4 linked regions of the Pelodiscus sinensis genome follow. The protein of the gene in region 4 interacts with the protein of the main gene of each other region in a biochemical or structural test. Links are inferred from orthologs where the notes say so. Each region holds a gene or a part of one and is shown on either strand. Other genes may lie near its edges. The genes, in order: MAGI2, NHERF1, DNAJA1 and PTEN.

Evidence for each region.
Region 1: the proteins of PTEN (region 4) and MAGI2 form a complex in vitro, tested with the Homo sapiens proteins (2 studies listed by BioGRID and IntAct, with this or other methods). The link is inferred for Pelodiscus sinensis from reciprocal best matches to the Homo sapiens genes PTEN and MAGI2.
Region 2: the proteins of PTEN (region 4) and NHERF1 form a complex in vitro, tested with the Homo sapiens proteins (3 studies listed by BioGRID and IntAct). The link is inferred for Pelodiscus sinensis from reciprocal best matches to the Homo sapiens genes PTEN and NHERF1.
Region 3: the proteins of PTEN (region 4) and DNAJA1 form a complex in vitro, tested with the Homo sapiens proteins (2 studies listed by BioGRID). The link is inferred for Pelodiscus sinensis from reciprocal best matches to the Homo sapiens genes PTEN and DNAJA1.

What each region holds. Positions count from the first base shown.
Region 1 is NC_134711.1:21,274,080-21,282,004, forward strand, and holds the start of MAGI2 (membrane-associated guanylate kinase, WW and PDZ domain-containing protein 2), read left to right. Parts: upstream 1-4,908; 5' UTR 4,909-5,257; coding exon 5,258-5,558; intron 5,559-7,925. UniProt on the Homo sapiens protein: Seems to act as a scaffold molecule at synaptic junctions by assembling neurotransmitter receptors and cell adhesion proteins. Plays a role in nerve growth factor (NGF)-induced recruitment of RAPGEF2 to late endosomes and neurite outgrowth.
Region 2 is NC_134730.1:13,341,623-13,348,691, forward strand, and holds the start of NHERF1 (Na(+)/H(+) exchange regulatory cofactor NHE-RF1), read right to left. Parts: upstream 3,015-7,069; 5' UTR 2,784-3,014; coding exon 2,313-2,783; intron 1-2,312. UniProt on the Homo sapiens protein: Scaffold protein that connects plasma membrane proteins with members of the ezrin/moesin/radixin family and thereby helps to link them to the actin cytoskeleton and to regulate their surface expression. Necessary for recycling of internalized ADRB2.
Region 3 is NC_134716.1:16,781-24,649, forward strand, and holds the start of DNAJA1 (dnaJ homolog subfamily A member 1), read left to right. Parts: upstream 1-4,867; 5' UTR 4,868-5,020; intron 5,021-5,525; 5' UTR 5,526-5,534; coding exon 5,535-5,666; intron 5,667-5,748; coding exon 5,749-5,926; intron 5,927-6,417; coding exon 6,418-6,522; intron 6,523-7,869. Other genes in the region: APTX (aprataxin), read right to left, coding at 897-1,033, 2,763-2,884.
Region 4 is NC_134718.1:38,724,831-38,732,844, forward strand, and holds the start of PTEN (phosphatidylinositol 3,4,5-trisphosphate 3-phosphatase and dual-specificity protein phosphatase PTEN), read left to right. Parts: upstream 1-5,002; 5' UTR 5,003-5,145; coding exon 5,146-5,224; intron 5,225-8,014. UniProt on the Homo sapiens protein: Dual-specificity protein phosphatase, dephosphorylating tyrosine-, serine- and threonine-phosphorylated proteins.

The sequences.
Region 1 (7,925 bases), on a different chromosome or scaffold from region 4:
GTATCCTCGGAGACCCAAGATTTCTCCAAGTAGAAAAGGTTACAAGTTTGGATCCCAGGGGAGACCAAACCACCTGCAGAGAGGCCTCAAATCTCTACACTAACTGGCTGTGTCTAGACTGGCAAGTTTTTCCGCAAAAGCAGCTGCTTTTGCGGAAAAACTTGCCAGCTGTCTACACTGGCCACTTGAATTTCCGCAAGAACACTGATGATCTCATGTACGGAATCAGTGCTTTTTGCGGAAATACTATGCTGCTCCCGTTCGGGCAAAAGGGCCAGTGTAGACAGCTGAGATTTGTTTTGCGCAAAAAAGCCCTGATCGCGAAAATGGCAATCTGGGCTTTTTTGTGCAAAAGTGCTTTTGCGGAAAAGCATCCGTGCCAATCTAGATGCTCTTTTCCGAAAATGCTTTTAACGAAAAACTTTTCCATTAAAAGCATTTCCGGAAAATCATGCCAGTCTAGACGTAACCACTGTGTTTGGAATTGATCCTTACCTCTCTAGTCCCTGATGGGGCAACTTCGTTGAATCTGCTACCCAGCCTGCAATTGCTCCTGGAACTGTTAAAGAGGGCTGTGGAAAGATAATACATCCCCAAGTGTGCTTCTACCCTGATCTTCACAGGCCCAGTATGGGGACAATATGTACCCCACTTGGCATGATCCCCAACATACACACTGTTCACTCCTTCCCCTCATGCACATCTTTATGCCCTCACTATACACACGACATTGCTGGAAAACAGGATTCATCTGTGGAAAAAGCTCTCTGCATGTGGAGCAAAGGACACTGTTGGGCACTTACAAAGGCAAAGTTAATCCAATTACCCCAAACCCCAATCCCACTCCACTCTGTTCTGGGATACGGCTTCTGGACAAGCCCTATCTGTTTTACAACTATAGCAGGATAAATCAAAGTGATACAAATCTAAAGGAGTTACAAATTACTATCTCAAACAGATTCATACTGCTAGCAATATATTTAAAATGGAACCTACAGACTCTTTTAATAGACAGGAGAGGGATATGTAGCACAATAGTTTGCTACAGTTAATGTCAGCTTGATTTTAACTAATTCTGGAAATCTTAAATAACCCCAATGATTAAAGCTAAATTAATCTTGGGGCCTATTGATGGGGAAATATAATGCAGTCCTCTTCCCCACCTCTGACAAATATGTTTTAAGTTAATAACAGATACAAGCTATTATTCCAGGGAAACTTCTAGTAAGCCAGAGCACTGGCAGGTGTCAGAGCTCTCTCTCTCTCTGTGTGTGTGTGTTCTGGTGAATATTAGGTTATTTATAAATTGAATCTTTATTATCTGTAGCTCATGACTGCTGTTCCCATATTAACAGGGTGACCGCATTTTCTTAATGAAAAAATTAGGACACTTTTTATAGGGCTGAGGCTTTCAGTGAAGATATATGTAAGATTTTGGAAGCTCAAGGTGGGTCAAAAGGATGAGGCTTCTTACTCCCTATTCTCAGCTATTTACATGCTTTCTCTTTTTTCACAACTAGAAAGCAAAACAATAGAGTGGTGGGTCAGGGGGAAAAGCCATTCACCCTTTTACTGCTATTTTATGTTTTTATTTTAATTTTTCTATGGTTCTTTTCTCTTTCCTTTTCCTTTGGCCCCAAACCTGCAAACTGCCCCATGTGAGTGGATTCCTTCACCCACACAGAATCCCTCTGAAGTCCATATTAAACAGCTTGTAGGATCAAGGTCTTTGTTCTTTGCTTGTTGTACCACTGTACCCTTCCACGGGTACCCATTTAATTTGCACCCATGTGCTAGTGCAATAGAGATAGTCAAAAAACAACACATTTCTGTGAAAAATTTCATTGACAAATAGTGCCATTTTTTCCATTAACATTTCAAAAACATTTTACAACTTCTAAACTACAGTAATCTCTTCCACGCATACTATATCCCACCCTTCATTCATTCTGCATCCAATTCACATGTACCTGCATTCATATCCTCATCATTCTTCCATTCTGCACATGCACATAGTACACCCATGTAGATGAGGTGAGAGGAAATCTCTTGCCTTTTAAAGGCTAGGTCAACCAACGTTTCAGCTAAAGTATGGAGTTTTCCCTGTCCATGTTTGGTCAGTCTTTACTTAGTAGGGAAATCCATTTCTTTAGGAAGTGAGACATTCATACATTTGTCTATAAAGCCCAGGGGTGGATGCATTTCTTCATTTTCATGCTAGAAAATTCTACATCTGAGTGTGGGGGAAGTACAGATCAGAGGGTGTTAAAGCAGCAAAACTTAAGCAGTGAGGGTCAGCTCAATGTGAGGCAAGGATAGCATGGTGTTGAACAGCTGGAGTGCTTGGAATCAGGGAGCACTGGGCAGCCTGGATAATCCAGAAAGTTGTGGCAAGGAGTGTGAAGGTTGAGGGCTGACAGGTAACAGAGAGGGCAGGGTCCCACAAACCATTCACTCATCTATCCTGCTGATGTTCCCTATTCTTCTCAAACTTGCACTTGTCCCATACTCTCTTCACCAGGCAAAGTCCACCTGAACTTTGATGGGGGTGGAACCTCCCTTTCCCCTGGCATCATGGTAACCAGGCTTAGAAAACTTGTTCTATGGCAATAGTATCCAATAAACTGTAAGTTTGGGAGTCACTAAACCTAGAGGCACTACAGGGTTCTGTGTAAATTCAGAGCAGTTATGACTAAACATATTAATGGGGCCTCAAGATTCATAGCTGTCACGTTCGTCTTGCCACCATTTGAAGCTTGCTCAAGCCAAGAACATCTAATTTCATAACTACATATTCCAAATCCATTTACTGATTTTTCAAAGCATCCAATTCACTATTTTAGATGGATTTATAGCTCCTCTATAGCATAGTGTCTTAGCATCTCAAAGTCTTTAATATGCTATTCCTCAAGCTAAATTGGGAAGTGCTGTTAACCTGTTTTAACTCCCCAGAGGTATCTAATGGTACGTCTACACTACATGGCTCTGTCGACAGAGCCATGTAGATTTGTTTATTGGGCAAAGGGAAATGAAGCAGCAATTTAAATAATCGCTGCTTCATTTAAATTTAAATGGCTGCCGCGCTGAGCCAACAAACAGCTGATCAGCTGTTTGTCGGCTCAGCGCACTAGTCTGGACTCTCTGCGGTTGACATCAAAGCCCTTTGTCGACCGCCCCGGTAAACCTCATCCCACGAGGAATAACGGGGTGGTCGACAAAGGGCTTTGATGTCAACCGCGGAGCGTTCAGACTAGCGCGCTGAGCCGACAAACAGCTGATCAGCTATTTCTAATTCTGCATCCAATTCACATGTACCTGCATTCATATCCTCATCATATCCTGATCAGCTGTTTGTCAGTTCAGCGCGGCAGCCATTTAAATTTAAATGAAGCGGCGATTATTTAAATCGCCGCTTAATTTCCCTTTGCCTACAACCCTAATCTATATGGTTCCATTGATGGAGCCATGTAGTCTAGACACAGCCTAAGTGCCTAACATCCACTGATTTATGCACCTAAATAACTCTGAGGATCTGGACCTCAGTGACTTGCCCCCTCACACAGGAATCTGTGGCAGAGCAGAGAGATGAAGCCAGGTCTCCAGAAATCAAATGCTACCATCCTAATAACTGGATCACCCTTCCTGGCCCCACCACATTATTCCCATGTTTTGCTTTAAGGGACTGAGCTGAATTGACTCAATGGTAGAGACCTGTGTGGACACAAAATGTGAATCTGTATCCATATCTGCAAAAATGATCCGCAGATATCTGCATCAATATCCACGGATATGGATATCCACAGATATAAAGTGGGTATCTGCAAATGTGCAAGATATCCACACACAATTTATATCTGCATCCGCCAACATTAGCTGTGGATATCTACATCCATATCTGCAGATTTGCAGATACCCACTTTATATTTGTGGATATCCATATCCGTGGATATTGATGCAGATCTCTGCGGATCATTTTTGCTCTATCAATGGGTGACTAGGAGCAAGAGGATAGGCAGGGAATGTAGGTAAAGGCAGGATGCAGGAGAGGATTTCTTCACTTTCTCCTTCCTGTTCCACCATTGTTGCTTGTAGCATAGGCCCACAAAGGGGCCAGGCACTTGGCAGCAACAGAAGCCACATTCCCTGCCCTGGGGAACTCCCAATGTAACCTGGCAAACAAGGAGCAGTGACTGGCAGTCACAGGCAGCAGGAGGGAGTGGAAGCTAGGCAGCTCTGAGGCTGCAGTTGCTTATGGCTGTGATGCCCCTGTGCCCACAGAGACCCCTCAGCAGGGGTGGGAGTGGAATTGGGGCCAGGCAGGGAGCGGCTCTGGGGTGATATGGGCACTGGGCAGTAGGGAATGGGGCTGGAGGTCAGCGCTGCTGTACCCAGGTGCTCCGGGGTCGGATGAGCGGCCGGGCGCTGGGTCGAGGCCAGGGGGCGCTAGGGGTGCAGAGGGAGCCGGGAGGGAGGTGGGTGCCGTGGCTACGCGCTGCACTGGGCAGCCGTGCCGCAGAGCGGGCAGGCCTGGTCCGGGACCCGCGGGGGGTCGGAGCTTCAGCGATGGGATCCCGGCTGGCGGGGCCCGTCCCGCTCCATCCCTCCCGGGCTGCAAAGGGGAGGGCCCCCCGCGCTGTCACCCGCTCGCTCCCTGCCCGCCCGCTGCAGGGGTTGCTGCCCTTTCCCCGTCCGCGGCTCGGCCGGGCGCCAGGCCGGGTGGGGAGGCTGCAGCTCCCGGGGCCTCCCTTTCCTCCCCACCCAGCCCGGCTGCTCTCCGCCTTCTCCCCGCCGTGCCAGCCAGCCTCTCTCTGGGTCTTCACTACCGGGTCAGGCTGGAGGCGAGCGTGATCAGACACCCCCCTCCCCCAGCACACACAGTCCTGCTCCTCCCCCTCCTCCTCTCCGGGCCGTCTCCATCCCTCCCTCCCTCCCCGCCCGCTCCCCTCCCTCCTTCCCCGCTGCCACTTACTGTACAACTAGTGCACACACACACTCGCACTCCCAGGGTCCCGGCTGCCGCAGCTGCCATGGCCATCCGCTAAACACACCCAGACTGACAGCCAGGCACGGGCAGAGTCACCCCCACTCCCCACCTCTCCATCCTCCTCGCCGCCCGGCGGCCACGGCCCCTGCGGTGCCTTGCAGCCGGCCGGGAGCCGCCGCAGCCCCGGACCCAGCCCCCCGCCCCAAAAAGGAGCCAGGCTCCGGACCAGCACCCAGCACGCCGGGGAGACTCCGCCAGCCCATCCCCACTGCAATGTCCAAGGGCTTGAAAAAGAAAAGCCACTGGACGAGCAGAGTCCACGAGATTGTCCTAGGCAGGAACCAAGAGGGGCAGCTGGGCTTTGAGCTGAAAGGGGGAGCGGAGAACGGGCAGTTCCCGTACCTGGGGGAGGTGAAGCCCGGCAAGGTGGCCTATGAGAGCGGCAGCAAGTTGGTGCCGGAGGAGCTGCTGCTGGAGGTGAACGAGACCCCCGTGGCCGGGCTCACCATCAGGGATGTGCTGGCCGTGATCAAGCACTGCAAGGACCCCATCCGGCTCAAGTGTGTCAAGCAAGGTAAGGGCCAGCTGCCGCGTGCCTGCTGCGCCTCGGCGGGCGGGCCAGGGGCGGACCGGACGGGGTGACAAGGAGCCGGGGCGCAGCGGGGACAGCGCCTGGGAAGGGCGCAGCCCGGGAGTGGCGAGGAGATGGGGTGCCGTGGGGGAGGGGAGACAGCCCGCAGACCCCGCCGCGGGGCGTGTAACTTTGTTCCGGCACTTTGACACCCCCCCTTTCTGGGCAGGGTCCAGCACCTGGCCCCGGGGAGGCTGCGAGGGGCAGCGGCGCCCTGTGTGCTTGGAGGAATTAAATGTGCGTCAGTGACAGGCTGCCGCGGTTGCAGGGGGCGGGAGGCGGCCAAACTTTGCTAGGGCCGGGCCGGGGCGCACAGGCACCCCCTGAGGTGCTGCAGGCAGAGCCGGGGCCAGGGGTGGGGAGCTTGGGATCCCGGGTCAGGCAAGCAGCTCGCGGCGCCTCCAACACGCATAGGGAGCCGCAGCACTGAGAGGGAGGCGAGGAGCCAAACCTTGTGACAGGCGTTGAGGAGCATTAGCATCGAGTAACGCTGTGGCCATGCAGGGCACCACGCTGCGCCGCGTAGCCAGAAGGAGCAATAGGGCTTTGGCCGTCCCTAGCGTAGTCTTTCATATCTAGAGAAAGTGGCCTGGAGGCTGGCTTTGGGAGCTGGTACCCTTGGCTCCGCTTGACACTGGGCGTGTTCCCCTGGAGGTAGTGACTTGCTGCTGCTTGGCAGGTCCCTGACACCTTAGGGCGGCTTTAGCTTCCGTACAGTATCATTGTAGGAAAAATCCTCCACTTTATCTCCGATGAAAACAATCGCCTGGTGCTGGGGAAAGGGGATTTCATATCCTGACACCAGAGAGGAAAGGGTGCTCGCTGCAGGAGCCGGAGGGAAGTTAGAGGACAGAACCATAAACTTTAACTGGTCATCTGTTTCCCCTTTAAAAAAAATAAATATATATAAGTCCTGGAGTAGTTTAACAGAATTCCAGGAAAGTGAATATGATTAAAGATACTAGATTTTCCGTGTAACCCCTTTCTGCCCTTTCAACTAAATTGGCAGGTAGGGGAGGGTAACAGAAGGTTTGGAACAGTTTTCTGACACTCAGAGAAGTGGTGGCAGAGCAGAACAGTTGTAAACTCCAGTGACAACCACATTCATAAGTGGTGCCTTGATAATGATGATGCAGTGGTTGATTGTGTGTGTGGGGGGGGAGAAAGGAGACTAAGGCATTTCAGGCTCAGCCATAGGAATCCAGTTAATACTGCGGTGGAAATAAGTTCAGTGCCAGTATTCTATCTCCAAAAAAGGCAACCTTGGTACAGATTGGGGGGCAAAATGGACAGCTGTGTCAGCTGCCCCAGATTCTTCCTTAGTATAATTTTGTAGTTGAGTTTCATCATTTTAGTGGATGGCCTGTTATTCATGGTGGTTTTCAATGAGATTTCAATGAGATTCAATTTCAATGAGATTCAAATGCTTGAAAAATATTATTGGCCTGATCCAAAGCTCCCTAAAATCAGTGGGAAGATTCTGTTTGACTTTGAGTTAGTCTCCATAAGGATATTACTGTGTGTTCAATTGTTTACAGTGAGGTCACATCTCCAAACAACTGACATAACCTGGTATTTATACACTGTATATTAAGCTGGCATATTGGTAAATTCAGAGTACAGCAGTGTATTGTAAGTCACATTTTGAAGGACAGAAGTCAAGGAGACATAATAGTTGATGCAACAAGTAAAGATGAGAAAGGGAAAAGACTTAAAGCAATTCTACGTTGTTGTACTGGGTCACCTTTGGGCTCTGTGCTCCATGAAACCTGCTATAGTGTTTCAGCTTCTAAATAAATGTAAAAGGTCTCAGAGAGGTAGCCATGTTAGTCTGTATCTGCAAAAACAATGAAGAGTCCTGTGGTACCTTAGGGTGCTTCTGCACTGCACCGTAGCTCAAAATAAGATACGCAATTTGAACTACGCAAAGTGCGTATCTTATTTCACTCTTATTTCAAAATAGCTTAAACAGTGCCAATAGTCTATACAGTGCCAAATTTCAAAATAATCGGCTATTCTGAAATGTTCCTTACTCCTCATGGAATGAGGTTTATAGGGACGTTGGAATAGCAAGCCTGTTATATCTGGAAATAACGGGCTTGCTGTGAAGACACAGAATAGCTATTTCAGGATACTCCAGTATCCTGAAATAATGTTGTAGTGTAGATGTAGTCTTAGACACTAACAGATTTATCAGGGCATAAGCTTTCGTGGGTAAAACCCACATCATCAGATGACTGGGAGTGGAAATTACAGAGGTAGGGGTATATATAAGAACAACACAAGAAGTTACTTGTAAAGTGTCTGACC
Region 2 (7,069 bases), on a different chromosome or scaffold from region 4:
CGCAGACACCAAAGTCCATCCATTGTCCTCACTTATCTCCTTAAGGGCACCCTGCTCCTCCTCCTCACACCAGCTAACACCCTGCCTGTAATTGGGATTGCTCTTTTACAGAGTCCAAGTCTAAAGTTCACAGCACCTCTCTAGATCCTACCCCCGCTACAGGTTGTTTTCTTGTATTAACACAAACTGATAGGTGACCCCCCCCCCCCAAAAAAAAAAAAAAACCAGGCTTTAGAGCATTAGAGGTTCAGAGCTGGAACTCAGAAAAATAGTGTTTGCACCTGAGACTTCAATTTACTGAAGTTGGGGAGTGGAGCTTCTTTGGGACATCGGACCAACACCGTTCTATTGAGAGTTCAAACTCTCACTTTGAGCCATTTTGGCCTATTTACATCTTTGTTTGATAATTAAGCCTTCAGTTCTCTTCTTCAGGCTCACCTCTCACCCTTAAGCTCTGATGAATAATGCACCCACTATGGCAGCTACAGAATTGTATACATGGAAAGTTTATGCTGATCATAAAGGAGTGACCCTGCTTCTTTCAAGAGTTCAGATTTTTCATCTCTCCCTTCCTAAGTAAGAGAACTCAGCTTTGAGGACCACCGATGGGTGAAAACATGAAGTCTTCACAACAAGGTACATATTTTTGATTATATAAATAAATATTCATTAGGTCATGAAGGCAGAGCCTCTATTAGTAACTACCCCAAGTAAGTAAAGGATGCTGAGTCTCAGTTCCAGAGTCCCTTCTCCCCCTCCACATTTACCCAAGACTTAAGTCAGCATGAATCAAAGTTCCCCATCCCTTTTATTTAGTTTTTAATCGTTTTCTGTCAGTAGCACCGAGAGGTCCAGCTCCCATTGTTCAGGACACTGCAGAATGACAGAATCCCTGCCCTGAAGAATTTACTACAATCTTTAATTGGATAGAGCAGCGAACAAAACAAGATACCGGTCAGTATGAAAAACTGGTCAGAGCACACCAGCAGCCTGACCACTGTCAAGGGTTTTTGGGAGGGGTTGCACCTTTTTTAAAAGGAAAAAAAAAAAAACCCACCATATCACAGCAAAAAAGAACGAGCGAGATTTAAAAGAGGATAATGCAGCTCTACTAGCTCCCCACCTCCTAATTAGCCACCAGCTACTGGTTCTTTCTGATCTATGACAACCTACGACATTCATTTAGTTGGGGTTGGACTAGATGATCTTCTATAGGTCTTTCAACCCTAATCTAGGACTCTAAGCCCACAGAAATTTGAATTAACTTTGGGATGCCTGAGGATCTAGTTAGAGGGCCCTGGACAAATAACCCATCTCATCATAACAGAGATGCTGATCTCTTTTGCCTCCCCACCAACTAAGAGCTACACAATTCTAACAAGCAGGAGAAGCATTCAGTTTCACATCCATACATGCACGCAAGGGTGGCATTAGTGTCCTATGAGCACCGAGAAGGCAATAGTCCTTGCGTTGTTCGACCATGACTCTCATCCATATCTGTAAGAGTAATTACACCACTTTCACTGCAATGCTTGAGAGGAAAGTGGATTCTGTTGAAAAGTAATCTTATTTCAAATATCCCAACTACAGCAACATGGCACCATGCAGTCCTAGTGGTTACTGGCAAGAGAAGATGCTTAAGAGGGGCAAACAAAAGCCTTACCCTTCTATGAAAAAAGTGAGCTAGGGAAAGTTTAACACCCCCCTTCCCGGCCCCCCACACACACTTGTTTACTTTGTGCAGCACCTCGCACAAGAGGGGACCCAGTCAAGGACCAGGACCCCTGAATACTCCCACGAACTTTGAATAGTGACTTTCAGTTTCCCGTTTGCCTCTATCATGTGGCAGCAGGAGAGAGACGTTTAAGCCTCGAGGATGGTATGTAGCCTGGATTCTTCTGCTTCCATTATTGTTTTTTCTCATTTGCCCTTCATTTTCATGTCTACCACTGCTTTCCCAAAACTTTTAAGAAAAGACTGGAAAGTGTGCTTGTAAAAAAGCAACAGGAAGAGTGCTTCATGGGCCAATGGAATGCTTGAGATTCTTATTACTTAACAGGCTAGATTTCAAAGTTGGCCTTTCTTTAAAAGGGGCACTTCAGTTAAAGTTCGAGCTACTTGAGAACCTGTCCCTCCTAGCCCCAACCTGCACGAACTCTTCACCCTTCTGCCTAATTCACACACACACACACACACACACACACACACACACACACACAGAGCACCGTGGCGGTCTCCCGCCTCCTTTACTTCTCCCGCTCCAGTTCGCCCTTAGACCCCAAGGCTCGCCCTCCTCCCCAGAAAGAACCTACATTTACCCTCGCCGCAGGGTGGCTCGTCTCCTCCTCCTCCTCCTCTGGCCGCTCCTCCTGCTCCTTCGGTGTCTCCAGCGGCTCCTCGTTACTTTTCTCCTCCGGCTTCTCCTGCCCCGCGGCGGGCAGCCCCCGGACCAGCTCCTCGCGGCACTGGATGCCCAGCTTCTGCAGCTGCTGGTCGGTCTCCGCGTCCACCACCAGCAGGCGCACGGCGCCCACGGCGGATCGGATGCGGTTCACTACCTGCTGGTGACTTTCCTTCTCCACGTTCTCGCCGTTCACCTCCACCAGCCGGTCCCCGGCCCGCAGCCCCGCCGCCTGGGCCGGGGAGTTGGGCTCCACCAGCCGGATGAACTGGCCCACCTTGCCCTTCTCCCCGTGCAAGTGGAAGCCGTAGCCGTTCGGCCCCTTCTCCAGGCAGCAGAGCCGGGGCAGCAGCTGCTGCTCGCTCCCTGCCCCGTCACTCATCTTCCCGGGGGAGCGGGGAAAGGGATCAGAGGAGCCCGCCGCAGCCCCGCTAGGACGCGGGCGGATCGCTCCAGCGCCGGGCGAAGACACCCGGAAAGCCCAGGGAGGTTCCGGGCAGCAGGTGTCCCCGGGGCGGGGTCTGGCCCGAGGAGAGAGCGCGCACCAGCAGGGAGACAACCACAGCGCAGCGCCCGAATCCCCGCCCCGCTCTCTGTCTGAGTTCAGCGCCTGTCACCGCCCTTTATAGCAGGGGGCGGGCAAGAGGGGGCTGGGAGGTGACGCCGGACCAATCGGAGTTAGGCGAGGGAGGAGCTGAGGGGCGCTGACCCGGCTCGTGAAGTGCGAGAGTGGATCCAAACCTCGAGAAGGCGGGGTTATGCAAATAAGAGGAAAGAGGCTCGCTTCCCCCCCCCCCCCCCCCCCCGCGCTCCTCCGCTTTCCCCACGTTTTTTGACAGGCTGCTCAGCCTCCCGCGTGCAAATTGAGCTCTCCGGAAGCAGAAGTGGCCCGAAGTCGCAAGAGCGAAGATTCTCCAGAAGGGCTGGGGCACTTCGTTCCCCCAGAGACAAGGCGTCTAAGAGAAGCAGGCGTGGGGCGCCTTGAGTCATCCAGCCTGCAGCCTGCCTCCAGCTGAGCGCTGCCGCGACTTCCTCGGGGGGGCAGAATGTTGGTCCCGGAAGACTTGCTGTGATGAAGGGAGGGCGGGTTGACTCATTGACTTATCCTTGTTTCTCAATGACACACCCCAAGCTGCTTACTGGCAACTGACAAGTCCTTTCTCCCAGGAGCGTCTGCCAGCAGCGCTGTGTTCAAGTGGCTCTCGATCGGACTGAAGGCGGTGACCGAGTAGCTTGGTAGTTTGGGGCTTTACACGCATTAGGAACTGGTGGGATTGCTAATCATATTAATTGCAATTAGAGCCATCCTTTCGGGTTTAGAACGCTCTGGTACAACTGCTGGGTCCTATTCACCCATTCAATTCATTACTCCAGTTCACAGCACCCTTTCTGTGAACCGCTTTCAGGCTGATGGGCTGTTCGTGAGGGATCTGCTTTAATTCTGTCTTTGACTAATTACTCTCCGGGGTGTAGGATGGGGTTTCACTTCGGTCACATGGTTGCTCTCTGATTGGATGGCTGCATTTTTTGAACAGGAGAACAATGGGTAACAAAAAACAGATCTGAATCTAGGCCACCAGAAGCAATCGAATTGTGTATTTACTAAAGCAACAGGAATCATGTGGGTTGAGACATATCAGATGCTAAATTCCTTAGTAAAATTGGGGAGAGAAGATGGACTCTGAATAGCCTCTGAGCTGGTGCTGTCATAGCAGAGGGCACTAGTCTGTTTCTGCATGTGGTTTGACAGCTTTACAGATCACGGGACTTTCCCCCCTTTGGTAAAGGTTGTATGGGTGCCAGGGCAGGTTCTGGGAACTTTTCTCTCTTTCTCAAAATTCCAGATCAGGTTCCCGTGAATTTCCCTTTGCAACTCTGCTAGTTGGACTTTGTCTATTCATCCATAATTTGGCTTTGTGGAAACCGCAGAGCTGTGTGAGGTTAGTGCTGCCTGTGTAAGTAAAACCCACTCCAAACAGCATCAGGAGAGAGCCATTTACAGAACTCAGCATCATCTTTATGATAAACACTAAGTATAACACTGTTCAATATAAAAGCAGTTTTATTTTGCAGGATAAAAGGGAGCAGCAGCTTTTTGTTGAGACTATATTATTCAGGGGATACATTTAAGAATCTACAATGGACTGTCCCTTGCACATGATACCCCATAAGACTTCATTTACTCTTTCCTTAACTGTGAAGGTAACAGAATGCAGAAATCTTGCAATGATGAACCATAGCATTTCTCAGCATCCTCACTATTTAATTGAGTCTAACATGTTAAAAGAGAACATTTGAAGGGACAGTCAACTTAAAAAATGCCATTCAGATCTGAAAATGCTGCACTTACTATTGTAACTTGTAACCAGTGTTCCCAGTAAGCTGGGCCCTTGTGTGGCCACTCAGGAGAGATTCAAATGCCATTAAGCTGATAAGCAGAGCGCTCACTGCTAGGTTTGTGTTTCTCCTGATGGTGCACATTTATACACGCTGTGGTGCACATACAAATTTATTCCACACATGGCTGGAAAAAACTCTGCATGGGGATGGAAAAGATTACAGGGAACATTGCTTGTAACCCCTATGAGCACTTGAAACAAGAGTCAAATTAGACATTCCCCCTCCTCCCATACATTTACTTTGTGCATTTGACACCAGTTGTGCACCCTCAGGTTTCCTGTTCTGGTGATGCCTCATCCCACCCCCAGGCCCTGCCCTGTATAACAGCAGAGCGAAAAGTGAAAGTGAACAGTCTGAGCACCTCTGGTGGTTTTACTTTTGTTCTGAGGCCTGGTCAAAAATCCCTCTGAGCTAAAACAGAGAGGCAGAAAAAACTCTAACAGTTTTCTTAAAGGAATTAAAATGCAAATTAAAACTAGTTTTTTGTCAGTTTTGGGGACCCTTTTTCCATCATATATGAACACTGTCGTCTGCTAAACTACCACAACTTCAGCATAATTTAAAATGCAAGGACAGAAGCTCCTGTGGAATAGATGGAAGCTTTTATGAAGCCCCCTACAGTTGGTTTATACCAGAGATCGGGAATGGCGAGATGCAGTCCCTGGCTTGCCTGAATCCGGCCCCTGCATTGGGGAGCTGGTTCTGACACTCTGGCCCCACTACAGGGCTGGAGCACACAAAATCTACTTGGCTTGTTCCCACCCCCAACGCTGGTGTGTGAGAGGAATGTGGGTGTCTTCTCAGTCAGGGGCCATGTCAATGGGGGGGGGGGGGGAGTTGTGCAGCCCGATTGATTTTTCTGTGGGTTAGTGGCTCCTGTCCCAAAAAGGTTCCCCACCCCTGGTTTATACAATTACTATGCTTAACAGAATTACAGAGACACAGAGCTAAAGTGACAATGTCAACTGGGAAATCCAGCAAAGTGGACTTATGCGGACCTGTCTGTGCCCTATCACTGCTAGTTTCAATTCCAGCAGGATGAACTCAATGTCCTTAGGGAAGTGGACCATCTTCTTTGCATTTCACTGCAAGAAGGCAGGTACAGGACTAAAGAGCCAATTTAGTTCTAAGGAGAGCCCTTTATGAAGTAAGAGTATTTTTCAGAGTGGAAATAAAGGCCTTATAAGGAGTCTTGGGAATCACAATGGGTAATTATCTCCTTTTTAAAGTTTATCAGCGGTGGGTTTAAAACCTACGATGTTGATCCTGTAGAATGGACCTCTATAGCTAGAGAAGGGTAGCCGAGTTAGTCTGGAACTAGAAAAAGTTTTAAGTTTCTTTATAGCTAGGTGAGTAACTCAGCAGTCCCAGTAGGCTACCAAAGATGAGACCCAGCCACAACACATGCTTTGCAAACATGACAGACAGCTTCTTGAAAAGTAGTGCAATTTGAAGGAATTCTTCAAGCAAAAAATGTGCTTTTCAGGAATCTTTTTATAAGCCATGAAATACAAGTCAGTTCTGGCAGGGGAGGGTTTAGAAAGGCACAGAGGGAGGGAGGTGAAATTCACCAGAGGGAGGGAAAGAAACACACCACATACCCCGCAGTTCAGGAACTTTGAGCACTGATGATAAAGCAGAATGTGACAGCTTTCCTAATGTTTATTTGGCTGCAAGTATCTTAATCTTCCTGGTTTCTCCCAGTCAGTGTGGAGTTTTTTTTTTCAGCAGCTGCTTAGTAGGTTAAGAAAGATCAAAATTTAGGATGCAAAACCGAAAAGAATTTAAAAGAAAAAGCCAACTAACTCTCTCTCTTTTTTGCAAGCATCAGCTTAGCTACAGAAGCAATTCCATTGGTGGGAAGACAAAGGTATTTGGGGAATGTTAGACTCTGTACCATGAGAACAGCAGGGGGAGGAGGTTGGTTTTAATTTAACAGACCATATTTACTCTTCCCCATCACCTTTGGACTTCTGAAATGTGCAGTGAAGTCACAGGGGCTAGGCAGACGCACACCAGAAATTCCAGGGCTTGTGCTGTACTTATTTAATGCCCAGCAAATATTGCATTGCAGATACCCAGCCAGCAACACCCTCTCTCTTCTCTAAAGAATTGGAAATTGCTTGGGCCAAGAACTAGGTGGACACATTTGCTCTCCAAAATACTGAGATTTAATTCTGTAACTTGCAAACAATAAACCGTGAACAATAGAAGAGGCAAAGGAGTCCCATGATAATAGAGAGAGAAGCTACGACTGCCAGAGAATGG
Region 3 (7,869 bases), on a different chromosome or scaffold from region 4:
GAGGCATACAATTCTCCTCCAAGGAGTTCAGTCACAAACATAATGAACACATTTTTTTAAATGGGCATCATCAACAGGGAAGCATGTCCTCTGGAATAGTAACCAAAGCATGAAGGGGCATACAAATGTTTAGCATAACTAGTTCTTAAATACCTTGCAATGCCAGCTACAACAGCAACATCTAGGGCTCATCTACACTACCCTAGAGTGTCGAAAGAGGATATGCAAATTCCATGGGAATTTGCATATCATTTTCCGATCTCACTTTTGAAAGCAGAGCTTTCAAAAGTGAAAGTAGTTTAAACATGGCTTTTTCGGCGGCTCCCTCCCTTTTTTCGAAAAGCCGATCTTCCTCAATAAATGAGGAAAATGTCTTTCAGGTGACATCGTAAATAAGAAGCAGGCAGCATTACTCCCTATAAACATAAACAAACTTGTCTTAGCAGTTGGGTGAACAAGAAGCAGGACTGAATGAACTTGCAGTCTTTCGCTGTTTTGTTTTTGAGTACTGTTATGTAACAACAACAACAAAAATCTCCATTTGTAAATTGCCCTTTCATGCTATAGAGATTACAAGAACTGCGGTACATCAATGTGCATTGAAAAATACTATTTTTATAGTGCAAATATTTGTAAACCAAAGTAATATAAAGTGAGCATTTTACACTATTTTTGCTGTGACTGAAGTCAATATATTTGAAAACACAGAAAAACGTCAAAACTATTTAATAAATTTCTATTGGCGTTCTATTGTTTAGCAGTGGGATTAAAACTGCATTTTATCATGATTTTTGAGTTAGTCACAAGTCAATTGCCATTAATTGTCAGCCCTAGTTTTTTAACTACTTAGCTGTTTTCAAACTAGCAGTTGTGTGTACACTGAAGCTATTACTTACCCTGTTGCCTTGAACATTTCTTGTCTGTTATTTCGGTCTCTGGGCCACGCCCTATTACTGTTGTTTCTAAGTGTGGCAATTTGATTCGCTGACAGCATTTATCTTTCCTCACTAGCCAGCACACCCGCATGATTGCACTGTGAAATAAATAAGAGGACATAGACAGGATTACAATCAGATAGGGATCAAGATCCCGTGGCTGACTACAGGATTGGGCATCAGAAGTTCTTGTTTCTATTGCCAGTCCACTAATTGGCTGCATGACGTTGGCTAATTTGCTTAACGTTGCTGTGACTTATTATCCTTCTCTACAAAATGGTACTAATAAGAGATATTTCAAGGCCTTATTTAATTATCTATGTAGTGGTTTGATAGCATCTCCCACAGAAAGATGCTGAAATGCAAAATATTTACTATTATACACACCAAGTTTACATTATTCAGTACATATTTGTTTATCATGTTGAGCGATACCCATATTTCTCCAATCAGCTGATACAACATTAGGCTGCCTATATATATTGTTTTTATAGACACATCACATTCATTTTTAGATTTGCCACTGTGGCCACTTCTGTAAGTTCCAATAGCAAGTTTTATTCAGTAGGATTTTACTACACTATATATCACTTGTCCACCATAACCCCTACCTCCTTTTCAGAAAAATTGCCTTCTAGGATATAGTACACCATTCTACAGGGATAGCCTATATTTTTTGTTCCTAGATGTATACCGTCACATTTGGCTGCATTAAATGTTTTGTTTTAATGGACACAGCTTATCCAATGGTCCAGATGTTTCTGTATGAAAAACCTAGCCTTAGCATCATTTACTACTTTGCCAATATTGGTGTCATCTTCATATGTTACTAGCAGTGATTTTACATTTATTGGCAGAACAATGACAAAAGTATGCAATGGGATTGGTCCTAGTACTGATTCCTATAGAACACCATTTATTTCAGCAGTAAAAACACAGCTATATGGTGCACTGGGCTATTGTGTATGTTACTTAGGGATATTAAAATGCATTTATTTGTGTAAATGTGTATCCGCTGAAATTTTCAGCAGAATTTTTTTCAAGTTTGGGAGGAAGAGGGAGGTGGTGCTCGTGGGGAGCTGGCTTTTCAGCTCACTCATTGCAAGTGCCAGCTCCTGTTCCCTCCCTCCTGCTGCCTCTGTTATAGGGATGGGGGGGAAGAGAGAGAGGGGAGCCGCTTGACAGGAACCAATATGCGAAGGGAGCTGGCGTCAAAGCTGGTTCTCTGCATGCATCGGCTCCCATCTGCTCAGGAGCCAAGATGTGTGGAGATCTGGATTCCCATACATACCGGCTCCAGCCTGCTCCCCTACCCCCACACTGCTGCCTCTGCCACTGCAGAGCAGGCATGCGCACAGAGCTGTCTTAAAAGCTGGATCTCCCCACATACCAGCTCCTGCTTGCTCTGTGGGAGGCAGCAGCACGGGCAGGAGCAGGGAGCTCAGCAGCAGCTGATATGCCCCAATAGGCACCATTTCCCACCTCTCCCACTTTTTGCTGCCTCTGATACAGAGATAGCAAGGGGAGGGGGAAGTATGTAGTTGTTAAGATTAACCGATAAGCCCAGGCCTATCGGTTATTCATGTAGATGACTACCCACTAACATCCGTAATGTTAATTTTGTTCTCTGCCACACAACACGAGACAGCAGCAGCATGGCTGCTTCCAAGTTATACTTTTAGTTTTACCAGTAAAACCTTCCAGGGGGACATTTACACCTTTACTGGCTTAATTTATGACATTAAGCTAAACTGACAAAACCCATCCTTATGCTAGAATGAGTCTGTGCAATCTAGGGATGTGACAGGTGGCCAGTTAACCAGTTACCTGGTAAGCATCACCCTTGCTGCATGATGCATACTGATGAACCAGTACCAGGGAGCAGCCGCCTTCTCACAGCTGGCACCGCTGTACAGAGAGAAGGAGGGAGGAAGAGCCAGCCGCTCCATTTGGGAAGGCGCAGTAAAAGCAGAAGTCAGTTCCCCTGTGCTTAGGACTACTAGTGGATCCAAGTTAATGAGTTAACTGGTAAAACCTAAGGTTTAACTGATTAACCGTGAGTTTACATCCCTAGTGTCAACAGGAGAAGTTATAAAAGGATAACTATGCCAGTTTAAATTCACACCATAACTTAAACTGTTATAGCTTACCAATGTAAGAAACATTTTTTAAAGCAGACTTAGTGATTCAGTGAAATTGGTGCAAACTTTTGCCTGGGCACTTCCAATGTGTTCTGACTGAAACGTGTTCCTTTTCAGTTTAACCTAGACTATATAACTTATAACTATGCCAAAGAAAGTGACAGAGTTGACCCATACAATGAAGGCCTTAATTAGAATGGTAATAGAAATGTAGCCGTGTTAGTCTGGGGTAGCTGAAGCAAAATGCAGGACTATGTAGCACTTGAAAGACTAACAAGATGGTTCAATAGGTGATGAGCTTTTGTGGGCCAGACCCACTTCCTCAGATCAAATAGTGGAAGAAAATAGTCACAACCATATATACCAAAGGATACAATTAATGCAAGTTTCTTCACCCCTCGCCCCGACACTGCCTGCCCGCCCCCTCCTCTCCCTCACCTGCCCCCCTCACCCCCGCCCCCTCCCTCGCCTGCTCCCCTCACCCCCGGCACTGCCCGCCCCCTACTCTCCCTCGCCTGCCCCCCTCACCCCCGGCACTGCCCCGCCCTCACCTGCTCCTCTCACCCCCGCCCCTCCTCTCCCTCGCCTGGCCCCCTCATCCCCACCCCCTTCTCTCCCTCACCTGCACCCCTCGCTCTGGCACTGCCCCCCTCTCCCTCACCTGCCCCCCCTCCCTCAACTGCCCCCCTCACCCGCGGCACTGCCCCCCCTCTCCTTCACCTGCCCCCCCTCCCTCGCCTGCCCCCCTCACCTGCCCCCCTCCCTCCCTCGCCTGCCCCCCTCACCCCCGGCACTGCCCCCCCTCACCTGCCCCCCTCCCTCCCTCGCCTGCCCCCCTCACCTGCCCCCCTCCCTCCCTCGCCTGCCCCCCTCACCCCCGGCACTGCCCCCCCTCACCTGCCCCCCTCCCTCCCTCGCCTGCCCCCCTCACCTGCCCCCCTCCCTCCCTCGCCTGCCCCCCTCACCCCCGGCACTGCCCCCCCTCCCTCCCTCCCTCGCCTGCCCCCCTCACCCCCGGCACTGCCCCCCCTCGCCTGCTCCCCTCCCTCCCTCCCTCGCCTGCCCCCCTCACCCCCGGCACTGCCCCCCCTCGCCTGCCCCCCTCCCTCCCTCCCTCCCTCGCCTGCCCCCCTCACCCCCGGCACTGCCCCCCCTCGCCTGCCCCCCTCCCTCCCTCCCTCGCCTGCCCCCCTCACCCCCGGCACTGCCCCCCCTCCCTCCCTCACCTGCCCCCCTCACCCCCGGCACTGCCCCCCCTCCCTCCCTCGCCTGCCCCCCTCACCCCCGGCACTGCCCCCCCTCCCTCGCCTGCCCCCCTCACCCCCGGCACTGCCCCCCCCTCGGCGCCCCGCGGGCAGGGCCAGTCACCGTCTCGCTGCCAGCGTCACACGCCTGCGTCCGCCCCACCAATCAGATCCGGGCCACGGCGCATCCCAGAAGTTGTGCGCAGGCGCTTTCGGAAGCCCCGTCCCTCGCTGGAGGGCGGGCAGAGCCAGCAGCAGCGGGCGGGGGGGAGGGGGTCACGTGATACGCCCTCGCCTTGCCGCGCGCGCTGCCTGCGGGCTGGGAGTGTTCACAGGAAACAGGCCCTGGCGCGCGCTCCGCCGCGTGCCACTCACAACCCCGCCCGACACCGGCTGCTGGGGCGCGTCCCGCTGTGTCCCGCCCCTACACCCAGCGCTCCACTGCACGCGCACAGCTTGGGGCTCGCACGGCATGCTGGGGGTTGTAGTCCCGGGAGCCAAGCCAAAGATTGGCTCTCCTCCGCCTGGCCCGTCCCCATCCTTGATTCGGCCGGGAAACCGAGGGGGCGGGACTTCCGGGGTGGAGCTTCTGCGGCTACAAAAGTCCCCGGAAGGAGCGACCGGCTCATAGAGAACTTTCCAGAAGGGTCTCGAGCGGCCGAAGCAGCTGAGAAGCCCGGAGCTCGCCAAGCCCTGCCCGGTGAGTGGGGCCGGCCCCCGCTGCCGCCTTTTCTCCCCCCCCCCCCCCGCGCCGGCCGCTGCCCCTCCCCCCCCGGTCTCGCTGCCCCCCGCCGGCCGCTACCCCCCCTCTCCCCCGGTCTCGCTGCCTCTGCCCCTCTCCCGCCCCCCCCCCGCGCTGCCGCTGCCCCCCTCCGCTCCCCCCCGGTCTCGGTGCCCCCTCCCCCCGCGCCGGTCGCTGCCCCCTCCCCCCCGTCTCGCTGCCTCTGCCCCTCTCCCGCCCCCCTCCCCCCGCGCCGGTCGCTGCTCCCCTGCCCCCCCCCCAGTCTCGCTGCCCCTCTCCCGCCCCCCCCCCCGCGCCGGCCGCTGCCCCTCCCCCCCCCCCGTCTCGCTGCCTCTGCCCCTCTCCCGCCCCCCTCCCCCCCGGTCTCGCTGCCTCGCCCCCCCCCCCCCGCCGGCCGCTGCCCCCGTTCCCCCAGCCCGGGCCCGAGGGGCGGCCGGTGTTGGCTGACGGCGGGCTCCCGCAGGCCGGCGCCATGGTGAAGGAGACGACGTACTACGACGTGCTGGGGGTGAAGCCGGGCGCCACGCAGGAGGAGCTGAAGAAGGCCTATCGCAAGCTGGCGCTCAAGTACCACCCCGACAAGAACCCCAACGAGGGCGAGAAGGCAAGTGGGGCCGGGCTCGCCGGGCACTGGCCCGGGGCTACCTCGTCCCCACGCCCAGCACTTACTCTGGTGTTTCTTGCAGTTCAAGCAGATCTCGCAAGCATACGAAGTGCTTTCTGATCCAAAGAAGAGAGACTTGTATGACAAAGGTGGTGAGCAGGCTATTAAAGAGGGTGGTACTGGCAGCAGTTTTGGGTCACCCATGGATATTTTTGATATGTTCTTTGGAGGAGGTGGAAGAATGCAGAGAGAGCGCAGAGGTAATTTCACTTTCTCTGGTACTGCCTAAGGGACTCTTTGCTGCTGAAGTATTTTCTTGTTAGTCACACATCCTGTAGTACCTAGTATAAGGCTATAGATACTTATGTGTTTAAGCTGCACCTTTTTACAAATAAGGCTTTTCATGCTATGTAGCAGTGTCTAAAATGATCATTACAATGATAAAACAATATCTAAAAAGGCACTGTTCTAAAACCAATGTTTTAAATGCTAGCATAGAGGAGATTAAGTTTTTAAATAAAAAGCTGTTTTAGTTAATATTCTATAACCAGGCATAGGGTTAAGGTTTGATTTTTGTGCCCTCTTTGCAGATGGTAATGAGCCGGGCTCTCAAATATTGGAAAAAAGTTTGCAGTATCTTTAAGCAAAGACCTTAGTACTAAGCTTTGCTTAATTAGTCACTGAAAAGGATTGACATATTGTAATTCTAAGTTAATTACTATTTTAAAATAAGACCATATTCTCTTTACAGGTAAAAATGTTGTTCATCAGTTGTCAGTATCTTTGGAAGACTTGTACAATGGTGCAACAAGAAAACTGGCTCTGCAAAAGAATGTGATCTGTGATAAATGTGAAGGTATGTTAATCAGTCTCTGTGGGATAGGCATGTTACAATCTAACTTTAATAAAAAGTAGTCCTTACTATAGTAATTCCTCACTTAATGTGTGTCCGCTTAACACATTTTTGCGATAGCACAATTTTGGGAACATTTTTGAAGTACATGACCGTTCCCAGAATAACACTATTTCCCCAGCCGGCCTGTTGCCAGTGGCTGCGCAGGGCTTCCCCATCTTCCTGCAAAGCGGAGGAGGGTTCACTGCTCGCTGCGCCATTCCCGCTGACTACCCCTCGCTGGACGCCTTGCGCCCCCCCCCCTCCCCCCCCGCGCTGCTTGCAGGCTGGCAGTTAGGGGTTTCCCCAGCTGGCCTATCACTGGTGGCTGCGCAGGGCTTCCCCCGCCTCCTTGCAAAGTGGCAGAGGGTTCGCAGCTTACTGTGCCATTCCCCGGCACCCCCCTCCCCCCCGCACTGCAGTGCACGTCCCAGCAGACCCAGCACAGGGGCATACTTCCAACCCAGTCCCCTTCTCCTCTCCTCTTCCCCAGAGCCAAACACCTCCCCCTCCCTGCTGTAACCCAGTCCCCTTTCTCCCCAACCTTATATCCCGGACCCAACAGACACCACTGCTTGAACCGCAACCCCCACCTTTTCCATTATTTTCAATGGGAAAATTGACCCCACATAACACATTTTCACTTAACACCATCATTTTTTGAAACATATCTATAGTGTTAAATGAGGAATCACTGTATAGATATATATGCTAGTCTATCATGCGCTTTCGTGAACAAAACCCACTTCAGCCCATGACTGCTCATTTTAGAGATACATCAGGGCCTGATGAAATGTATCGTAGAATACTCAAAGAGCTGATAGAGGCGGTATCTGACCCTCTAGCTATCACCTTTGGAAAAACATGGGAGACAGGAGAGATTCCAGAAAAGGGAGTGACTTGAGCGTAGGGATTTCCCTGTGCGGATTGGCCCCGGGGTTTGGCCTGGGGAGGCACCCGTGGGGGTTTGGCCCCGCTGCAAGAGAGGCGGCTTGGCCCCGGGGAAGGCGCCCACAGGGTTTGGCCGCACCGTGGGAGAGGGGGTTTGGCCCCAGGGCAGGCACGCGTGGGGTTTCCCTGTGCCGCAGGGGGTGCGGGAGTCAGGCCTGGAGGAGGAATGTGCTGGCTTCCCTCTGCGGGGGGGGGGGGGGGGGGGGGGGAATCCTGGGAGGAGGCAGATGGAGGGGACTCTGCTGCCACTGGCACCCTGTCTCCTGTCTGTGCTCCCCAGACCCTACTCCCCTGTCCCCAGCTACAAAACTCTGTCCCCATTCCCATCCCCAGCTACAGAATTCTGTCCCCACTGGCACC
Region 4 (8,014 bases):
TGATCCACAAGGGAGTTGCAAGGGTATCACAAAGTTTTTTAGGGGGTGATCACAGTATTGCCACCTGTTGGCTACGTCTACACTGCTTCTTTCTTGTGCAAAAGCCTATGCAAATGAAGCATGGATTAGCATATTGCCATGCTTCTTTTGCATAATTAATTAGGAGCTGTTTTTGTGCAAGAGGTTTTTGTGCAAAAAGGAGCCATTTACACAGGAAGAACAGCTCTTGCACAAGCAGTGTTTTTTGTGCAAAAAAGCTCTGTGTAGACAGCTCCTTTTTGCACAAAAATCTCTTGTGCAAAACCAGCTCCTAATTATGCAAATGAAGCATGACAATATGCTAATCCGTGCTTCATTTGCATAGGCTTTTGCACAAGAAGGAAGCAGTCTAGACGTAGCCTTTCTTTGCTCCCTTCAGAGCTGGGCAGCCCAAAAGTGGCAACTGTTGGCCCAAGTACCCAGCTCCGAAGGCATTGCCCCACCACCTGAAACACAGAAGTAAGGATGGCAATATCATCTTACTTCTGCACTGTTGCTGTCAGAACTAGGTGGCTGGAAAGTGGCATCTGCTGACTGATGTCCCAGCTCCTCAGGCATCAGTGAAGAAGAGGGGATGGCAATATCATACCATGCCATCCTTATTCCTGTCTTGAGAGCTAGGCTTCCAGCCAGCACCTGCCTCTCTGCAGCAACCCAGCTGTGAAGGCAGCACCGCGTTATCAGCACAAGAGTAGCAGTACAACAGTCCCGTTCCCCCCCCCCCCCCCCCGCCCCGCCATAACTTTGTGGTCCTCACTCACTACTCTTTTTTTGGGTCAGGATCACGACAATTATAACACCATGAAGTTTCAGATTTAAGTAGCCACCTGTTGGCTACGTCTACACTGCTTCCTTCTTGTGCAAAAATGATTTACATTTTTCAAAATCTCATGACCATGAAGTTGACCAGAATGGGCCATGAATTTGGCAGGATCTATATATACGCTTTTCATGACATTAATTTCATGACTAATTTTCATAAAATCACAATTCAGAAGTGATATGGACAGAACCCCCAAGTCTTCTCATATGGCAAGTAATTGCCCATTCATAATCTACACACTGCACTCTGTCTCTGATGCTCTTTAACTACATATATAGTGGGAATGATGCAAAAATGAGAAGTGCAACTGGGTTGGGCATGGAAGAGATGAGGAAGAAATAGTTGGTGAATTGCAGTTGTTGATGTACTACTATTGTGCCCTGCTCTCTGTTCCTCCTGTCAGGATGAACTGACTCCTCTGGGACCTATGAGGCTGCAGGGGGCAGTAGGTGCCCATATACTAGCTCAGAAACTACAGCTGTCCTAGAGGTGATTCTTTAGAAAAATCAAACTAATGAATTGACATGACATGTTATACAAGTATTGCGAAAACATAGAAAAGCACTTTATCAGAAGTAGATATAACACATTGTTTGGTGGTTTATTTTCATATTACATTTCTCAGTAAAAATCAGGTTTTTATACAGATTTCATATTATAGTCACCTTTATTCTCATGCACAAGTTTTTAATTGCTATTGTTTGAAGCCTTTAATCATTTATGATACTTAATATCTCCTTCTTTACTCCTATTTTAGATAATAGAGTAGGAAAATACTTCAACTGCATTCTCTTTTCTGTTATGCTGATTGCATAATCATTCCAATGGGGTTGTGTTTCCATTTCTTGTTAGTTAACATTGTATATGTGGGGCGAGTATGCCTTATCTTTATGTAAATCTACATAGCAAGGTATCTGTTATGGGTATATGGTCCTGCTGCTTGTGGTTATTTTTACTCTTGCTTCCACTACCTATCATGCTGGTACGTCTTGTTTTAATGTTTTTAGCATCACTCTCTTAGGCTACATCTACACTGTGTACCTTAGAGCAGCACAGCTGTGCAATTACAGCCATACCATTGCTTCAGAGGGGTAGCCAAGTTAGTCTGTAATAGGAGAAACTTAAAAAAATAGTATGGTAGCACTTTAAAGACTAACAAAACATATAGATGGTATCATGAGCATAGCCCACTTCTTCAGATGACCACCATACCATTGTAAGGTATGCAACACAGTCCTTTGCTGGCAGGACAGAGCTCTCCTGCTGGCAAAAGAAAACCACCTCAATGAGGGACAGTAGCTTTGGTGGTAGGAGATGCTCTCCTGCTGACAGAGTGCTGGCCATAGTGGAACTTTCTGTAATTAAGATTATTTTTTTTGTCAGTTGGCATGTGTATGTTTCACACCCCTGACTAGCAGAAGTTTTATTGACAAAAGCGCAGTGCAGCCTGAATATCTAGGATCCTAACATAGCCTTAGCTGCAGGCTGGGTGCGAGAAGTGGGTGTGACAGACAGCAACTGAAGCTCTGATTTTTTTTTTGCAGAAAGATTCTGGCTGACTTACAAATGTTTCCTGTGCATAGGTAACAGGTGGTGCCATAACCCATGCCACAGACTGATCACACTCACTCACCCTAACTAGAAGTGACAACTCTGTTTCACAAATTCAGAAACTGTTTTCCTTCTGTATTTCCATAAAAACAGAATTGTATTGGAGGAAGGAGGTAGCATCAGTCTCCCTCTAGCTTGGTGCTTAAAGTACTGGTCTGGACTGTATGGCTATGGCTATATCTAGACTACAAGCCTCTTTCGAAAGACAGCATCTGGAGTACAAGCAGATTTTTCGAAAAAGCGAGCCACTTTTTTGAATTAGAGTCTAGACGCTCTTTTGAAAAAGCAGTTTGCCGTCAATAGTGTCTTTTTTAGAAACAGTACTTTCAAAAAAAGGCATTATTCCTTGTAAAATGAGGTTTACCATGATCAAAAAAACTGCTGTGTTTTTTATTTAGTTTCAAAAGAATGCAGCTGCAGTCTAGAGGCAGGTAAAGGTTTTTTGAAAAAAGGCTACTTATTTCCAAAAAACTCTGTAGTCTAGACACACCCTATGAGACCCTCACCCCCAATTACCTGCTGTGCTTGATTTAGAGCAAGGACCTGAACCTCCCCCACATCCCAGCTATGTAACCTAATCCACCCACCTGTAGATTCTCTGCCCAGGACCCAAAAACTTTTCAAATAAAAATTTAATGCAAACAAACACATTGCTATTAAAATTTTAATCTTAGTCAAAACAGTGTATTTTGCCAAACCATTTCAACCAACATCACTTCAGTTATTCCTAATATTACATGGTTTAATACAAATTATCTGCCAACCGCATCTGATTCTTTCTTCTCTTACACCTGATGCAGCCCCAGGACCACTACATTCAGGGATTGCTTTATTCCATGCAGCCAGCCATCCTTCAAGTTTTCCTATATAAACACTTCTCTTCTCTGGAATAACTTTCCTACCTGGGAGGATGATGCCCTCATATATTTTCAGTCTCTACATGGTGTTCCCAGCAACCAAGTGCTGCAGCATCTGCATCTAAAGCAGAATTCCAGGGACACTGATGACATCATCAGTATTTTTACAGTTTTGAAGAGCCATTCTCTTCTCCATTCCAATTACCTCTTCACCTTGACCTTGTTCCTCATCTTCTCCATCACCCTCCCCCTTCCTCTTTACCTTATCTCCATTCATTAAAAAACCCTAACCACCTTCCTTACAAAATAAAACGAATGGGCATGCCATTCGGTGTTCCTGCAGTGTTCACTGGGGGTCGGCACCATATCCATTCTCCAGCGCTTAGTCCGATCTGTCAGGTTCATTCAGATTCTTGGGCCAGGCCCGGTTTGCTCTACGTGAACAGCATTTACTACAGTGGAGCTCGGCTTCTCAGCTGCTCCCTAACGCTAGGATCATACCGCCAGCCACAGAAGCTGCCTGCAGTGCTAGCTCCGCACTGGACACAGCACCTTGCCTCGTTCCCGGGGGCTAGGAAGAAATGCGGCGGGCAGGTACCCAGATCACGCTGCACCTACCCCACCGCGGGGGCCCACGCGTCCCGGATCTGCCCAAACCCCGCAGATCTACGCGCCCGAGAGAAGCCCATCAGCGGCCAGGCTCCCGCTCCCGATCGAACGCGAGTTGTGCTCCGCCAGGGGGGGTGAAGTGGGAAGCGCCGGCGCAGGCAGAAAAGGGCCCCAACCAGCCCCACGTGACTCCACAGGGAAGTAGCTCCGACGCGGTCGTAACGTGAATTTATCCTTCCGCCACCCTGTGGCCGGGTCGCCGTTGGCACGCCGGGACGGCTCTTCCACTTCCCTCATCACGACCGCCGCGTTTTCCCGGGGTGCAGGAGCGAGCCGAGGAGCGGGCGGTGCCGCGGATGGGAGGAGTGGTGGTAACAGCGGCAGCGGGACGCTGATGTGGCGGGACTATTTCGCCTTAGCGGCGGAGGAGGCGGGGGGCGGAGCCAGGCCCCTCTCCTCTCGGAAGCTGCAGCCATGATGGAAGTTTGAGGCGCTCAGTGTCGCTGGGGCGCGGAGGAGGCCGGGGCCGATGAGAGCGGGCAGCCTGCAGCCCCGCACGCACCGCAGCGCCTGAGCCCGCGCGGTCTCGCTCCTCGGTGTGAGGCGCCTCCGGACGCGCCGCCTTCTCCCGCGAGGCCGGGAGCGCCCGCCCGGCTGCGCGGCCCCATCGCGCGGGCTCCGCCGCCGCCCCGGGCGGGGAGCTGAGCTGAGCGGGACGGGGGGGCCCGAGTCGCTGTCACCATTTCTGGGGCCCGGCGCGCTGGAGAGTTCCCCTCTCCGCCTCCATCGCCTCAAAGACGGCGGCGGCGGCGGCGGCACACTCAGGGACCTGGGCCGACTCTAAACCCTTCCGCCGCCGCCGCCGCGGCTCCGGCGCCGCTCTGGGCAGCTGGGGAAGGAGGGAGCCGCCGCCGCCGCCGGGAGCCGCCGCCGCTGCAGGGGGAGGAGGGTTCGCCGCTTCCCCCATCTTCAGCCGCCGCTTGCGGGCCTGGGGCTGAGCCGCAGAGGCAGGCCCTGTCCACGGTGCCATCCAGCAGCAGCAGCCATTACCCGGCCGCCGTCCAGAGCCCAGCGGCCGCCGCTGCAGCGGGGAGTGGGAAACCAGTCACAGCCGAGCTTAGGGCCATCTGCAGCCCGCCGCTGCAGAAGCCGTCGCAGCTGCCGAGCCTGTCCTCGCTATTCCTGAGTAGCCCCCGGCTCCCAGACATGACCGCCATCATCAAAGAGATCGTCAGCAGGAACAAAAGGAGATATCAGGAGGATGGCTTCGACTTAGATCTAACCTGTATCCTCGCCCGGCCCGCGCTAGCGTTTGGCTCGCCGTTTCTCTGGGTGCCTTGATCATCTCCCCAGCGACCTGTAGTGTTAATGCTGAGCAGGGATGTGTGTCTGTTTCTCCCCCCCCCGCTCTTCTCCAGGGCTGCCATATTCCTGACTGAATTTGCTGTTCTCTCCAGTGCAGCCAGAGCCCAGTTGGGCAGGCTGAGCGCTCGGCCTAGGCCCAGCACCCGGGATAGAGATGAGATTAAAATGGAAATGAATGCTGCACGTACAGCAATTGCATCAGATTCTTACAGTAATTATGTAGTGTGCCTGCTCGTGTTTTTTGTGTATTTGTGTTCGGCATAATTATTTTGAGCACTATCAGATTTAAAAAGTCAGATGTGCGGCTAGGTTTCTGCAGTTACTGTAATTGGAAGTTGGTCAGTTTTTAGCAACCATATTGCTTTGTTTCATGAAACTAAAGCATTATGTTGTAGAAAAAGCAACATCCTAGGTCGGTTGTTGTCTGTCTTCCAGTTGATTGATGTAGATTGGGGTATGAACATTACCTGCTTGATAGTTGTTGTTTTAGATTCTATTATGTAGTTCAGAATAGAGGTTGAATAGTTATTTGGTCAGTAATTATGATGTCATGCAGATTGAGTATTATCTGTAGTAAATGGTGATTGCAAAGATTAACAGTAGTACTCGTTTGAAATCAAAGCATTCTAGTAGGACCTGTATTGACACTTTTGCTTTAGGTGTCATGTACTAGATACAGTGATGTCATTGCTCATGTTCAGCATAATGCCATTTAAAATAGAGCCTCTTACCTTGATGTTTGATTTTTAGCTCAAATATAAAATGTAATCATTCTACTGTACTGCAAATAGTGATGCCTTTTTCAATTAGTAATTCAGCATTTCGAATTGGAAACATAATTTTAGTGGGCATGTGACTTATCTGCTATTTTCTTGTTCTTTGCATAAATAGATACAAAATATGTGTTGTGCAGTGAATGAAGCATACTTTTCCAGTTTTTAACTAAAACATACGTTGTATATAAATGACAAGAATGTAAGAAAATAACTATTAATTTAAAAATTGCGTCTCTTTAAAGAACACCAGTTTCTTCACTCAACCATATTTTACACTGGTAGACTTTGTGTGCATTGACTTACCCATGGATTAGGACATTTCACAAACAAAAATAGTGGATGAGGTTCCTTTTTTTCTGCTGTCCGATATGTTTTGGGAACTCTTGAGAAATGTAGTGTTCGGGGACATGTAATCTAGCTGCATTAGGATTAGCAAGTCAAACCATGGAGCATTAAAAGGAACTGCATAGCCTTTGAACAGATGTACTATAGCAGCAACAGCAGACAGATGTCTGGCTTTGAATATGTGCTGCAAAGTTAATGGTATATAAGATTGTATTGTAACAGATTAAACTATCAGAATTAAGTTCTGTTACTTGTCACAGATACTATTAACTAAACGTAGAATTTGTTATTTATGAAGTAGTTTTAGTGCTTAAGTAATGAATATGGTATTCATTTTCAGAAGGAGGTTCTGATTTAGAATGGTTTTACAGTAGGGTTAAGATCAGCTTATTGCTCTTCTGACTGTGAGCAGAATTGCATCACAGGTACTGGATTTCTGTATGGAGAGAGAAAAGTGCCTGTAGTACAGAATATCTACTGTTACATTGATTTGGGACTCAAACTAAATATTTGAAGACTTAAATGTGTGATCCCATGAAGTGACCATTTAGCTTTTTTTTAATTACCTGCTGCTTAGTAAAATATTTCGGTTTTAGTAAATATTTTTTCTTTCATTGGGAACATATTGATCAATTAATGGGTTGCTATTTCAGAATTTCATTTTAGTTCTTTAAACTTTTTTGTTTTTCTGTGATGTGTATAGTAATACATACCTGCATTTTCAAGTTAGTATTATAAAACCTGCAAGATTGATATCTGCTCTGAAATATAGCTTACAGACTTTAGTTTATTTGCTACACTAAATGATGTACTTACTGATTTCTTCTATAATGCTGGTAAACACGGAAAACCAATAGCAAGAAACCTAATTTCATACTTCCCAGTTCTAGGGTTTGTTTGTAAAATACTTTGTCATAATGGCATACTGTAACAAAGCAGAATTTCATTTTAGCAGAATTTCATTTTAACTATTCATCTGCACATATATCTATCTATTTTTTACTTGCCAAGAAGAATCTTGTAATTTAGTTAGTGATTTTACTCATCAAGCTCAGAGTTTTGAAGAATACATTAGGTATAGTTACAAAATGTATTTTCTTTTCTGACTTAATAAATAGTTCTATGAACTCTTTCCTTTTTAGATTTACCTTGGAGGACATAACAAATTAAACTAGAAATTGGCTATTTAAGCTCATAGAAAGATTGGTTTTAGCAATAGTTCAGATTAAATGAAATAATATCAAAGTAATATGAAATATTTTCCCATAAGATTCTATATTTTCTGTAGACTATTTTGAACAATGGAAGAAGGCTCTATGTAGTAAATAAGCCCTAATTGAAAGTATTGGTGAGCATTTGGGTTTTATAACTTTTTGTGAATCCTGCACAGGGAGACCTTTGACAAAGTTGTTAATGGGTAGTTAGTTTTGTCTAATGCCTCAAAAGTTATACTGTTTTCTCCTTTACATGAATTAGGAATTAAGTTAAATCTGCAGACTAACCTTGGTTAATCTTCAGGATGTAAATGGTTAACTGGTAACCCTCACCCTTAATGGGTATGGCTTACTGATTCTGGTTAATAGGTAGGA